Linked DNA regions of Cricetulus griseus. The protein of the gene in region 1 interacts with the protein of each later gene in a pairwise test. Links are inferred from orthologs where the notes say so. Each region holds a gene or a part of one and is shown in the gene's direction. Other genes may lie near its edges.

What was found.
Region 2: the proteins of Rundc3a (region 1) and ras-related protein Rap-2a interact in binary tests that used the Homo sapiens proteins (3 or more experiments, as listed by UniProt). The link is inferred for Cricetulus griseus from reciprocal best matches to the Homo sapiens genes RUNDC3A and RAP2A.
Region 3: the proteins of Rundc3a (region 1) and Ccnl2 interact in binary tests that used the Homo sapiens proteins (3 or more experiments, as listed by UniProt). The two-hybrid records come from large-scale screens. The link is inferred for Cricetulus griseus from reciprocal best matches to the Homo sapiens genes RUNDC3A and CCNL2.

Annotation. Positions count from the first base shown.
Region 1 is NC_048600.1:115,705,875-115,710,127, reverse strand, and holds the start of Rundc3a (RUN domain-containing protein 3A), read left to right. Parts: upstream 1-1,443; coding exon 1,444-1,523; intron 1,524-4,253. UniProt on the Homo sapiens protein: May act as an effector of RAP2A in neuronal cells.
Region 2 is NW_023276807.1:270,427,729-270,432,114, forward strand, and holds the start of ras-related protein Rap-2a, read left to right. Parts: upstream 1-1,318; 5' UTR 1,319-1,364; coding exon 1,365-1,678; intron 1,679-4,386. UniProt on the Homo sapiens protein: Small GTP-binding protein which cycles between a GDP-bound inactive and a GTP-bound active form. In its active form interacts with and regulates several effectors including MAP4K4, MINK1 and TNIK.
Region 3 is NC_048595.1:468,369-472,972, reverse strand, and holds the start of Ccnl2 (cyclin-L2), read left to right. Parts: upstream 1-1,536; 5' UTR 1,537-1,870; coding exon 1,871-2,152; intron 2,153-2,554; coding exon 2,555-2,629; intron 2,630-2,845; coding exon 2,846-2,955; intron 2,956-4,604. UniProt on the Homo sapiens protein: Involved in pre-mRNA splicing. May induce cell death, possibly by acting on the transcription and RNA processing of apoptosis-related factors.

The DNA of each region.
Region 1 (4,253 bases):
GGACAGGCTCCAAAGCAATACAGAGAAACCCTGTCTTGAAAACAAACAAACAACCCCCCCAAAAAAAAAACATACAAAGGCAATGATTTCTAGGATTTAACAGCAAAAGACAGAACCAACAAATGAAAAAACAAACAAAAAACAACACCAGATTGGATTTCATGAACATTTCTTTTTTGAGTATTAAATGACTATTTTAAAAGACAATCCACTGAACCTGAGAAAATGGTCTGATAAGATCTGATAAGGCACTGATAGCCGAAATGTATTGAGAAGTCTTACACTCCGCATTAACAGGAGCAACCCAATTGAACACGAGCGATGTTCGGATCCTGAAGGTGGTTTATCAGGGATGGAGCAGGCGATCAGGAATATGAAGAAACAGCATGGAAGCCAAGTGTGGCAGAGAAGCCAGACTGCCTTCAGTCCAGCCTAGCTAAAAGCTAACCATTTTTTACCTCCCCTCCCCCCTCCCCGGCTGCAGCAAAGTAGGCAGCCAAAGGATTAACTCTTAAATCTACTGATCATTGGGGTGGCTGCTGCTGAGGACCCCCATGGAGTCCTGGGTGCCTAACTGCCGGTAACTCCATATCCCTATCCTGAGTGGTTTCACGTTCTGGACTCAGGCGGTTCGTTGGGTTCTCATCCTCCACCCGCGGAGAGACTGGCTTGCTGGCTACTGCAAAGGAACGCACCCCCACCCCCGCCCCGCACACACAGACAGACGTGCAGTGCAGCCTCTGGTTGCATTTAGTTTCTGGGTTAGCACCTCAAGGCCATCTGCAGTCTCTGAAAGCGGCCCACGTCTGGCTGAAGCGCCTGGGTGGAATGGGGGGTGGGGGGCAGGGCGGAAAATGGTGCAGGAGGTGAGGGTCTCCATTCTTCGGGCTACAGCGGGAGACCAGAGAGAGACACCACCGCTTGCAGATTAGAAACTAGGGAAAGAAGCCTCAAAACTGAGACGCCAGGCGAGGGATCCCCAGCCTTGAGTGTGGGGGTGGAGAATAGGGTCCTTCTCTCCGGGGGACCCCCCTCTGCTCTCACAGGGGCCACAGTCCTTCCCCTCCCCCCAAGCCCTGCGCCCTTGGCGGATTGGTCCCGAGCTGCCGGGGGGCGGGGCCCTATGGCCCTGACGTCACCGGTTGATGGGGGGGAGAGCGGGCGGCTGGGGGAGGGGGTGGCGAGCCCCGGCTCAGCACCTCGGAGAGCTCCCTCCCCGGCCTTGTTTTGCTCCGGAATCGCTGCCGGGGGAGGGAGCGAAGGGGCCAGGCACCAGGCGTCGAGGCCGAGGGATGGCAGTGAAGAGGACGAAGGGCCCCGGGGGGCAGAGGGCCCAGCCGTGATCCTGCGAGGGGGGCCAGGGCTCCGGGTGGGGTGGGGGGCAGCGGGCGTCGGCAGCAGTGGCCGCACATCTGAATGGAAGCGAGCTTTGTGCAGACCACCATGGCTCTGGGGCTGCCCTCCAAGAAAGCATCTTCCCGCAACGTGATCGTGGAGCGCAGGAACCTGATCACCGTGTGCAGGTGGGCGCCGCTGGCGGTCCGGATGGGGTGGTTAGAGAGAGGGGTTGGGGCGGGCTGAGAAATCTAAGGGTTAAACATGCCCACGGGGATGCTCTACAACCGCTGGCAAAAGGCAGGACAGCGAGGCTTAGAAGGAACGCGCTCACTCTTCTTCCCAGGCCCGCAGCCCGGAGGCGGGCTGGAATGCCGGTCCTTATTCTTTTTTGGCTAAACCAGGCCTATGCCCGGCCTGGGGTTTGGGGGCATGAAGAGAGTTTAATTGGCACTGCAGCTTCCTGTGAGAACCAGGAAGTGACATTGTGTGTGAGGGGGGGAGGGGGAGATGGCTGGCTCTCTTCCTGGCAGTGGGGGCAGGGTGGGCAGAGGGGACTCGATGGGGTTGGGGGTGGGTGTCCTCCAAGTCCCCTCTTTGCCATCCCTGACATCTTGGCCTCTTGGGGTGGAGCTTTCCTGAGAGACTTTTCTATGCTCAACCCTCCATGAAGCAAGGATGGTGTTTCTGAGCAGCTGCAGCCTGTGGCACAGCAGTAAAGCCCCCGAATCCATCCAGTGAAGGTCGAGGGCGCTACCCTAGGCCTGGTTGCAGAAGCCTGGGCCCCTGAGTCTGAGAGGAGATTGGGAGTCCAGATGCCCAAATCTCTGAGGGTGGGGCTGTTGCAGGGCTGGGGAAATTCTCAGCTTTCTTGGATACCAGGAAGTAATCCTTCCCACTTCAACCCTGCAGTGACTCACCCTCCTTGCCCTGCTCTGAGGCCAGAAAGCTGCCAGCTGTGCAGGCTCTCTCCCAAGCCCCACCTGTCCTTGCCTCTCCCTCCGGGATCTCCACGCCAGCTGCCTTCTCCACCTGCAGCCTCCATGCCCACCATGTCCACCAAATGCTTGGATTATATTGCTCCTGGATGCAGGGCTGATTGTCCTTCCTTGCCAGTCCCACCTGCCTGCACATAAGCCTCAGCCCTGTTCCTCCCCCCAGGAATCATGTCCACCTGATGCCCAGTCTCCGGCACCCAGAGCTCCTTGGATACCAGGGCACTTACCCACCCATGTTGTCTCTGTTTCAGAGCCTCCCCTTCCCAGTGTCTTGAAAGTGCTGTTCACACCAGCCCTGGGATGTGTGAAAGGAACGGTGTATTGATGACCTAGCCCAGAACACAGCTCCCTTCTCTGCCCTTATTCCCCATATCCTGTCAGTGTGGTGTCAGGAGCTTCCTGCCTTTGGATCCACACCTAGGGTCAAGCTTTTGCTCCAGTCCTTAGCTGTACCACCTTGTGGAAGTTTCCTAACTACTCTGTGCCTTTGGCACTTTATCTTAGATTTTACAGCTTAGATGTAAAAATCACACGTACCAAAGAATGGGTCATGGTGTGCCATGTTAGGTACTGGCCGGTTCCTGGCACACGGAAACAGCTAACTCAATGACACTCTTCTTGTCCCTCGGCCCTTGGCCATCTACGCACATCTTTTTCTTGCCTGCCAGGATAACCGGGGCTTTGATTGGGGGGGCGGGGCACTTGACCTAAGCTGGAGAAAGAGGTTCGGGTGACTTGGAGATAGCTCAGAGTTGGGGACAAGGTATAGTTTAGAGGGGTTAGGGACATGACAAATTCTCCAAAACCCCAGGGACCCCTGCTGCCTCATCACAGTCACGTGGTTCTCCTACAGCTCCCAGCAGTTCCCTTTAGCAGTCTGCAGGCTCCCCTGGGCCCTGGCCTCCCTGTCTCCATGGTAACCCACAGCAGCTATGCTCCTTCTAACCAGGCCCACACCATGGGGTTCCCAGAGGCTCTGACCAGCTTTCAGCTCCCCCAAGGACAGATGGCAGATGGCTGCCATGCTGACCAGGCCCCAGGCCTCTATTGAAGTCTGACACAGATGATCACAGATTGATAGTGTTCATAACAAAACCAATAATGGTCTGATAACAGTCATAGGCTACCTCCTGGCAGGGCCAGCCTTGACTCCTCACCTGGCCTGTGCCCAGCAATCCATGCACTCTCACCTTCTCCCACGTTTTCTGGGATCTGAACCAAAGTTGAATGAGGCAAGTGCTGATATTTCTGTTTGCACCCAAGGTACAGGCTTTGAATCCAGCAGCCTGCTTCTTCTCTCTAGCACAGTCCAAAACTCACTTGTCTGGCCTTAGGCTTTAGCCCTCTGGAGAAGCCCAAAGCAAGGTGGTGGAGAGAGGATTTGTTGTACTGTTGACTTGGGAGCCTTAATGGCCAGTGTTCCATTGAGGCTTCTAGAGCAGACAGACAATAGAGGGCAGAGGCTTCTTAGGGACTGAGCTTAGTACTTGTTTGTATGTGTGGGTTTTTTGTTTGTTTTGTTTTGTTTAGACGGCATCTCTATGTAGTTATGGCTGTCCTGGAATTCACTATGTAAACGAGGCTAACCTGGGACTCACAGAGATTCTCCTGCCTCTGCCTCCTGAGTACTAGGACCAAAAGCATGTGCCACCATGCTTGGCTAGTACTTTTTTAAAAGATGACTTTTGTTTGCTTATTTTGTGTGTGCATGTGCCACGGTGTGAGTACAGAGGCCAGAGGACAACTACTGATGGGAGTAGGGTCTCTCCTTCCACCATGGAGGTTCTGGGATTGAACTCGGATCATTGGGATTAGTGGCATGTGTTTTTATCCACTGAATTAGCTTACTGGCCAAGTCTTGGTAATTATAACAGCCACTGGAAATCCATAAGGCAAAGCAGAAAGAGCCAAGGATGGAGA
Region 2 (4,386 bases), on another chromosome or scaffold:
CGAGTCTCATCCCGATTGGTTAACAAGATGAGACGTCTTTTTCTATTGGCCGACAGCGGTACGCTCGCGTCCAGGCACGTGACCCGATTGGTTGCAGTGAATCCAGCTTCCGCGCCAACAGTCCCCGTGGACATTGCCGAGGGCCCCCCAGGCCCCCCCTAGCTTGCGCATGCGCGCTCCAGGTTTCCCAGCTGTCAGGGTGTGGGAGGAGCTCGGCTTAGAGCAAACCTCGGGGGGCGGGGCTAGAGGGTGGGGGCGGGACCTCGACGTCATCGGGCGTAGACTGCCTGTGGCCTGGGCGCCGCCGCCGACTTGCTGGTGTGAGTGGGGACGGCGGCCTCGAGGCTGTCGTCACGCGTCACACGAAAAGTGTCCTAACGCCGACGGGCTGGGCGCTGTCATGGCGTCCCCCAGCACGGCCCGCACCTTTTCTGTCCCCACGGGCCCTCCCTCCGCTAGTCGCCATCTCGCCGGCAAGCTGCGAGCGTGGGAGTGTGACGTGGCCCGCCGAGGGCGGAGGGGGGGGAGGGAGGGAGAGGGGAAGCGCGCATGCGCACGCCCAGCAGCTGTGCCTGTGAGGCTGGGTGTTGCCGGACGTCTACGGCGGAACCCTGCTTCTGGCAGCGCGACGACTGCGCCGCCGCGCGTGCGCGCGGCCTGTCGCTAGGTGATGGCGCGAGAGGTGGGGCTTCGCCTCGGCCACGCCCTGACGTCTGGCCCCGCCCCGGCAGCGGCGCGGCTGAGGCTCGGGCGCGCGCTCCGATTCCCTGGAAGCGGCGGCTGGGGCTGGGACGAGGCGCGAGAGGCGGGGCTTCGTCTCGGCCCCGCCCCTGCGTCTGGCCCCGCCCCCGGCAGCGCTGTGTCTGCGGCTGAGGCTAGGGCGCGCGCTCCAGTTCCCTGGAAGTGGCGGCTGGGGCTGGGACGAGGCGCGAGAGGCGGGGCTTCGCCTCGGCCCCGCCCCCGGCAGCGCGGCGACTGGGGCTCGGGAGCGCGCTCCAGCGCCGGGGAAGCGGCGGCGGGGGCTGGGGGGCTGGGGCTGGGCGTGGAGGCGCGAGCGGCGGGCGGGGCGCGGCGGGGCGGCGGGGGGCACTGCGGGCCGGCGGCTCGGGCGGCTCCGGCTCGGGCTAGCGCTCCCTCGCTGCTGCCGGCGCCCTCGGCGCTGTTGTGTTGCCCGCCTCGGGCCTCTCCCCGGGCGCGCGGCTCGCCCAGCTGCCGCCCGCCCCCGCCGTGGGCGCCTCCGGGCGCTGTCGCGCGCGGCCGTGAGCCGGCGTGTCCGCCGGGGCGGCGGGGCCGGGCCGCGGGTCGCGCGGCGGGCGGGCGGGCAGGTCTATGTCGCGGGCGGCGGCGGTGGCCGCGCGGGGACGATGCGCGAGTACAAAGTGGTGGTGCTGGGCTCGGGCGGGGTGGGCAAATCCGCCCTGACGGTGCAGTTCGTGACCGGCACGTTCATCGAGAAGTACGACCCCACCATCGAGGACTTCTACCGCAAGGAGATCGAGGTGGACTCGTCGCCGTCCGTGCTGGAGATCCTGGACACGGCGGGCACCGAGCAGTTCGCCTCCATGCGGGACCTGTACATCAAGAACGGCCAGGGCTTCATCCTCGTCTACAGCCTGGTCAACCAGCAGAGCTTCCAGGACATCAAGCCCATGCGCGACCAGATCATCCGCGTGAAGCGGTGAGCACAGCGGGCCCGGCCGGTGGGCTCGCCCGCTCGCCCGCCCGAGGCTGCACCTCCTCCTCCTCTTCCTCCTCCTCCCCGGGGCTCCCGTTTGCGGGCTTTGTTGCACAACTAAAATTGGGCAATCCCGCTAAACCCCAGCTCGGCCGTCCCTTTGTCTCGAGGGCATCGGTAGCGCTTGTTCTGTTGGCGGGGCAAACAAAGTTTCAAACTTGCCAGGAGGGAAGGGGTGAGTAGGTGGGCGCGGGGGACCGGGGAGGCCCGTGTAGGCGCGCCTGTGCCGAGCGAGCGAGCCAGCGAGCGCACGCGCGCTCAGATCCACCCGTGTGGGGCTTGACAGCCCAAACTTGCACATACGTATTCCGTGACAGTGTCGATACGAGCTGAGAGGCCCTTTCTCGTTGCGGAAAAGGTTAGATGTTGCCAAGAGGTTGGCAGGAATGAATTCGCGCAAACTTTAAAGACCCATCGTGAAATAACTTGAAGGTCTCACCACCTTCAGCAGGGTTGGCATATACAAGCACGCTCATGACATTTACATTGAAAGAACGAAGCTCCCCTCCCCCTCATAAAATCTACCCTCTTTCCCCGCTCAAAAAAGCATGGAGGCTATTCTTGGAAACCAAACAGACGTTTAGTGTAAGCGGTGGCTTTTCTATCAGCTACTTTAAAGTTAATGTGTGTGTGTGTGTGGGGGGGTAGGTGATGCAAACAAGCTTTCCCTGATGTAAACTGTTGAGGGGATGCATTTTGGATGTGGCTGGTAGCCTGAATGCTTTCAATGTTTGTTTTCTCTTAAGTTGTATTTTCCCCTTAACTTTTAAATATTGGAAATCTAACCTGTTTTTGCAGAGTTTTGCAAACATTTCCTAGCTCTTAACTGATAACTTTCTTTTCTGATCCCTGTCAAATAATGCTGCTGATGATCTTTGAGGATTCTTCTATTTGTATCCAAATTTGAAGTCACTATTGGAAGTTTAAGTAGACACAATTATATTCATCAGTCAGTTAGGGTGTACTCGTTTCAGAGCCCCGAGCAATTTATTTGTATTCAGGGAATACTCAAACTTCATGACAAGTGGTGAGTTTTTAACCTTGTACTTGAAGTCAAAGGACGTGTCTGGTCCTCACTGCCTCTCCCAGCTACTTGACTATGCATGTTAATAGCCAATACTAAAGGTTTCTGCATTCCATTCCTGTGTTCAATTCCAAATTAGACAACAGTGGATATTTCTGCCAGCTCTTCCCAAAGCTGGTGACTCTTACAGCTTTAACTTCTCTAGTCTTACTCTTTAGACATTTGTTTCCATGTGTGGTACTATGCTTGTGTTCACACATGTGGGTGCATTAATGCATTTTCTTGAAGTTGTCTATAGATGTAAATAATGATCTAAGTGCTCCAGCTGTCTGGCCTGAAACACAGGAGCATGGTGAGATCCTGGCTGGGGTGCCCTACACCATGCTGTAGTTCCTGTCACTCAGGAGCATGGTGAGATCCTGGCTGGGGTGTGTACACCATGCTGTAGTTCCTGTCACTTAGGAGCATGGTGAGATTCTGACTGGGTGTGTACACCATGCTGTAGTTCCTGTCACTCAGGAGAAACATGGTGAGATCCTGGCTGGGGTGTGTACACCATGCTGTAGTTCCTGTCACTCAGGAGAAACATGGTGAGAGCCTGACTGGGGTGTGTACACCATGCTGTAGTTCCTGTCACTCAGGAGCATGGTGAGATTCTGACTGGGGTGTGTATACCATGCTGTAATTCCTGTCACTCAGGAGAATCATGGTGAGATCCTGGCTGGGGTGTGTACACCATGCTGTAGTTCCTGTCACTCAGGAGCATGGTGAGATTCTGACTGGGGTGTATACACCATGCTGTAGTTCCTGTCACTCAGGAGCATGGTGAGATCCTGGCTGGGGTGCCCTACACCATGCTGTAGTTCCTGTCACTCAGGAGCATGGTGAGATTCTGACTGGGGTGTGTACACCATGCTGTAGTTCCTGTCACTCAGGAGAATCATGGTGAGATCCTGGCTGGGGTGTCTACAACATGCTATAGTTCCTGTCACTCAGGAGAATCATGGTGAGATCCTGGCTGGGGTGTCTACACCATGCTGTAGTTCCTGTCACTCAGGAGAAACATGGTGAGATCCTGGCTGGGGTGTCTACACCATGCTGTAGTTCCTGTCACTCAGGAGAAACATGGTGAGATCCTGGCTGGGGTGTCTACACCATGCTGTAGTTCCTGTCACTCAGGAGAATCATGGTGAGATCCTGGCTGGGGTGTCTACACCATGCTGTAGTTCCTGTCACTCAGGAGAAACATGGTGAGATCCTGGCTGGGGTGTGTACACCATGCTGTAGTTCCTGTCACTCAGGAGCATGATGAGATCCTGACTGGGTGTGTACACCATGCTGTAGTTCCTGTCACTCAGGAGCATGGTGAGAGCCTGACTGGGGTGTGTACACCATGCTGTAGTTCCTGTCACTCAGGAGCATGGTGAGATCCTGACTGGGGTATCTACACCATGCTGTAGTTCTTGGTGACTTTGTGCAGCTCACAGTTCTCAGTTATAATAACGGCTAATTTGTTTACTAGAGCAATTGGTTGGCACCTCAGCTCAGGACAGTAGACTAGGGTTCTACTCCCCGGGACTCATACTTTCAATTCTGATGTAAGAAGAGCATTGGTGAACAGAATCAC
Region 3 (4,604 bases), on another chromosome or scaffold:
GCAACACCACGCCTAGTTTCTGGGATACAGGGTATTGAACCAGGGCTTCAGGAATGCTAGGCAAGCATTCTATCAACTCAGCTATATTCCCAGTTCCTACAGATCACTTGGTTTGGGGGCTGGAGAGATAGCTCAGTGGTTAAGAGCACTGGCTGCTCTTCCAGAGAACCCTGGTTCAATTCTCAGCACCCACATGGCAGTTCCAGGGTATTCAACACCCTCATACTGGCATGAGTGCAGACAAACACCAGTGCACACCAAGGAAAATGAAATACAATCTATAAAAAAATACTTGGATCTGTCCTCTATTCTGTAACATCACTGTAGGCCAGCTTAATTTTGGCTTCCATTACTAAAGATTCCTACAAGGCCCCTTTGATTTTTTTTTTTCTTTTTTCTTTTGTCATCAGGCTAAACATCACTGCACTGAGTATTTGTGTCTTGTTTGTAATAGTGTCACTTTGCTGTGTGTTCAATACATATTACTCATTAGCTAATGGTTATTGAACAGATGGGGTGGAAGATACAGGCTTTAATTTGTACTTAATAAAGACAAGAGATGTTGCAAACCACTGAGTTGTACACAGCATCCCTATCCAGCCTATGTTTTTCTTCCTGTTGGGTGTTAACATTCATCTACAGTACCAGAGTCTGGTTTGAATAACTAGAGCCAACAATCTCTTCCAATTCTTTGCCCAGGGAATCAGCAAGTAGCCAGGCAGTGACAGCCTTGGACCCTTGTGCCCACCTTGGAGTTGCAGTCTAGATAGAGATGGGTGGACATCAACAATATGACCAACATGGGTGGGTAGAGGACAGGAGATGTGGTCTTGGTAGGATCTGCTTAGGCAATGGAATCAAATCAACTCACTACAGCTGGACTGTGGAGTGCTGACTATTGGCAGCCTTGTTCGAAGCTCAAAATACCCGAATTGGACCTATCTAGGAACATCCTTACCCTCCAGTGTCCCTCCCATTTTCTCCTTTCACCAAAGCTGCAGTTTTGGTGAAAGCTTGAGATAACTCAGCAGTGACAGATAGTTAACTCCATCTACTGCATAGTTTTGGTTGAAACTAGGCAGGTCAGGAATGGAGCCAGGGATAAGTACTGTCTGTAGGGTCAACTCCAAGCCTTTTCCTGTCGACCTTCAAAATCTCTGGCCATTCTTGTTCTGTACACAAGAAATTGAGAGTGATGAAATCTGACAATTGCAGTTCTCTTTAATTTGTGCTTAAAAAAAAATAAAGATCCGTTTACTTATGTATGTGAGTGCTGTTTGCACTGTATGCTTGCATGATAGAAGAGGACATCAGATCCCATTGTAGATGGTTGTGAGCCTCTATGTGGTTGTTGGGAACCGAACTGAGGATCTCTGAAAGGGCAGCCAGTGCTTCTAACCGCTTAGCCATCCTCCAGTTCCTTAACCTGCACTTTTAATGCTGAAAGATCCACCCCACAGCTGTAGCAGAGCCAGAGGACAGCAGGAAGGGTTGAGAACTAAAGACCCTGGACTAAATCGCGCTGTAATGCTGTGCGCGTGAGACTGTGGGGAAGAAGTCACCCTGTCCCTATACCCACGGAAAGACTCCCTTCTAGAGCCGGACTCCGAGGCAGGAGTACTTAACTCTCTTCCGGACTGACCGCTTCCGATTCTGGCCAGGCCGCGGAGCCGAGTGGGTAACGAGCGGCCCCACCCGTGGCCACTTCCGGCGTCAGCGGCTGACGCGATACAGAAGAACAGGTCGTACGGCCAATGGGGTAGAGGCGGCGGTGACGTGTAGCCAATGGGCGGAGGCGGGGCAGGGCGGCCGGGATCGTCTCGAGGAGCCGCCCTCCGGGAAAGCCCCGAGAAAGAATCGGCGGCACAAAATGGCGGCGGCGGCGGCCGGGGCTTCGGTGTTGGCGGCTCCCGCGTTGGCGGCCGGCTCTTCCGGCTCGGGGGGAGCCGCCCCAGGGTCTCAGGGGGTGCTGATCGGTGACAGGCTGTACTCAGGCGTGCTCATCACCTTGGAGAACTGCTTGCTCCCCGACGACAAGCTGCGCTTCACGCCGTCCATGTCGAGCGGTCTCGACATCGACACAGAGACTGGCCTCCGCGTGGTGGGCTGCGAGCTCATCCAGGCAGCCGGCATCCTGCTCCGCCTGCCGCAGGTAAGGGCGCGGCCACGGGCTTTGTAGGTAACCGTCCGCCGGTCGGCCGACAGTGCCAGGCCTTTGTTGTTGGCTTGGCCCACAACCAACCGGGCCTGGACCCGGCCCGCACCTCAGCCTTGACATAATCCTCCCGAGTCCGTGCTTCGAACCCGACCGCTGACCGCCTTGGAGTGGGGCCCGCTCCCGGACTTTCCTTCACCCACCCACCTCAGGCGAAGGTCCTTTATTACAAACCCCGGCACAGCCTCGCAATACAGAAATTCTTTGGGGAAACGGAAACTGTCGTGGGTATTTGTCCTGGGCGCGGGAGGGAGGCGGGGGACGGACTACACAAGACATCTCAGCCGGGACAGGTTTGAGGTCTGCCTTCAAAAGTGATGGAATCTTCTCCGTCCTTAGGTGGCCATGGCTACAGGGCAGGTGTTGTTCCAGCGGTTCTTTTACACCAAGTCCTTCGTGAAACATTCCATGGAGGTAGGCTTCCTTCTGTTTTATCAGACTAATGAATTGGGGGAAACCTGGCTTGTTCTGCCCTACGCTTAGTGAACTGAGTTCTGTCCTCCAAAGTCTGTACAGTTCTCTCCCTGGAGGTCTGTCTCTCTGTACCTTCTGTTTGCTCCTAATAGTTTTTAACGCCCTGGAAAGTCTTCAGGTTGGGGAAAAACATCTGTATCCCAATGTACATTTCAGCATGTGTCCATGGCTTGTGTTCACCTGGCTTCCAAAATAGAAGAGGCTCCAAGACGAATCAGAGATGTCATCAATGTATTCCACCGACTTCGGCATCTAAGAGAGAAAAAGTGAGTCCCTCTTGAGAGCTGTCAAAGGTCTGTCGTTGTTAAACCAACCTATGGGTTTGACAGGAGTTTGTTGACTAGTGCCCTGGATGCTTTCTGCGGGCAGTGATAGGGGAGCACAATAAGCAGAATAGCTGGCTGTTGTAGCCCTGCTGGAACAATTCCTATGTGGCCACATCGGCTCACGGCACTATTGTCCTGTTTTCTCTGTGGTTCTACTTAGAATCGCCACTCCCCAGACCAGTGGTTCTCACTCTCAGCACTGTCACTGTCTGAGCTGGTGATTCTCTGTTAAGGTGGTTGTCCCAGAAATGTATTATATTGACCAGCATTCCTTGCCTCTCCTTGCTAGAAACCGTTTGTATGGAGATATCCCTAGACACTGTCTTTTTTGTTACCTGATCTTGCTATGTAGCTGTCATGGGCCTGAAATGTAGGTCAGGCTGGTCTCAACCTCTAAGAGCCCCATCTCAGTCTCCCCTTATGTTCAGATTACATGAGTGAACACACTCATCTCCCAACACTACTTTCTAAAACACCGATGGAGAGCTGAGCATGGTGGCACACGCATTTAATCCTAGCATTCAGGGAGGTGGAGGCAGGAGGATCTTTTAAGTTTGAAGTCAGCCTGGTCTACAGACCTAGTTGCAAGACAGCCTGGAGTACACAGAGAAAACCTGTTTTGCAAAACTACAACAAACAAAAACAAAAACCAACCCACCCTTGGAGCAGATCTGAAGTAGAGGTCCGAGCTTCATCTTGGTGACTGAGAGGTGGAAGTAGGAAGGTCAGGAGTTCAAGGTCATCCATCCATCCATTCTCAGCAACATAATGAATTTGAAGCCATTCTGGAATACATAAAACCCTATCACAAAAGAACACAAAACATAAGAAGATCCTGTCTCAACAATAGGTAAAACCCAAAAGCAGTAGTGAGGTGGCTCAATAGGGTTAGGGTACTTGTCACCAAGCCTGACAACCTGAATTCAATTCTGGGATCAACATAGTAGGAGAGAATTGACTCCCACAAGTTGCCCTTTGTCCTCCACAGGCATAACCCAAAAACCAAACAAATGAAATACAAATTTTAAAGAATATGCACACAGGGTTGATGAGATGGTTTAATGAATAAAAGAGCCTGCTATCAAGTCTCAGGACAACCAGTTTCCACTTGGTAGAAGTAAAAGGAGGCAACTGACAACATCAGTCCCCTGTACAAAGTTAAAAAGCATGGTCCCTAGTTAAGGACTGTCCCCTAGACCTTAATCCAGACTGCCTGTTCTTTTTCACAGAAGTCCTGTAGTTTTGTTTTGTTCTGCTTTTTTCTCACTAGAGTCTTTCTATGTAACCTTAGTTGGTGGAACTTTATGTAGATTAAGCTGGCCTCTCTCAGTTGGTCTGTCTCTGCTCCCAGAGTGCTTTGGTTAGGGAATGTACCACAAGGGCCAGCTTAACAGAAATCCTTGAAAACACAACCTGATCTCTCTATCTCTATATCTCTATCTCTATCTGCCTTGGGGTCACATCTCAAGATTTGAGCTGTCAGCCACTACTTCAGTACCCTGCCTGCCTGCCTCACTCTGTAGACTAGGCTTGCCTCAAAACTCAGAGATCCACCTGCTTCTGCCTCCCTAGTACTTCAATCAAAAGGC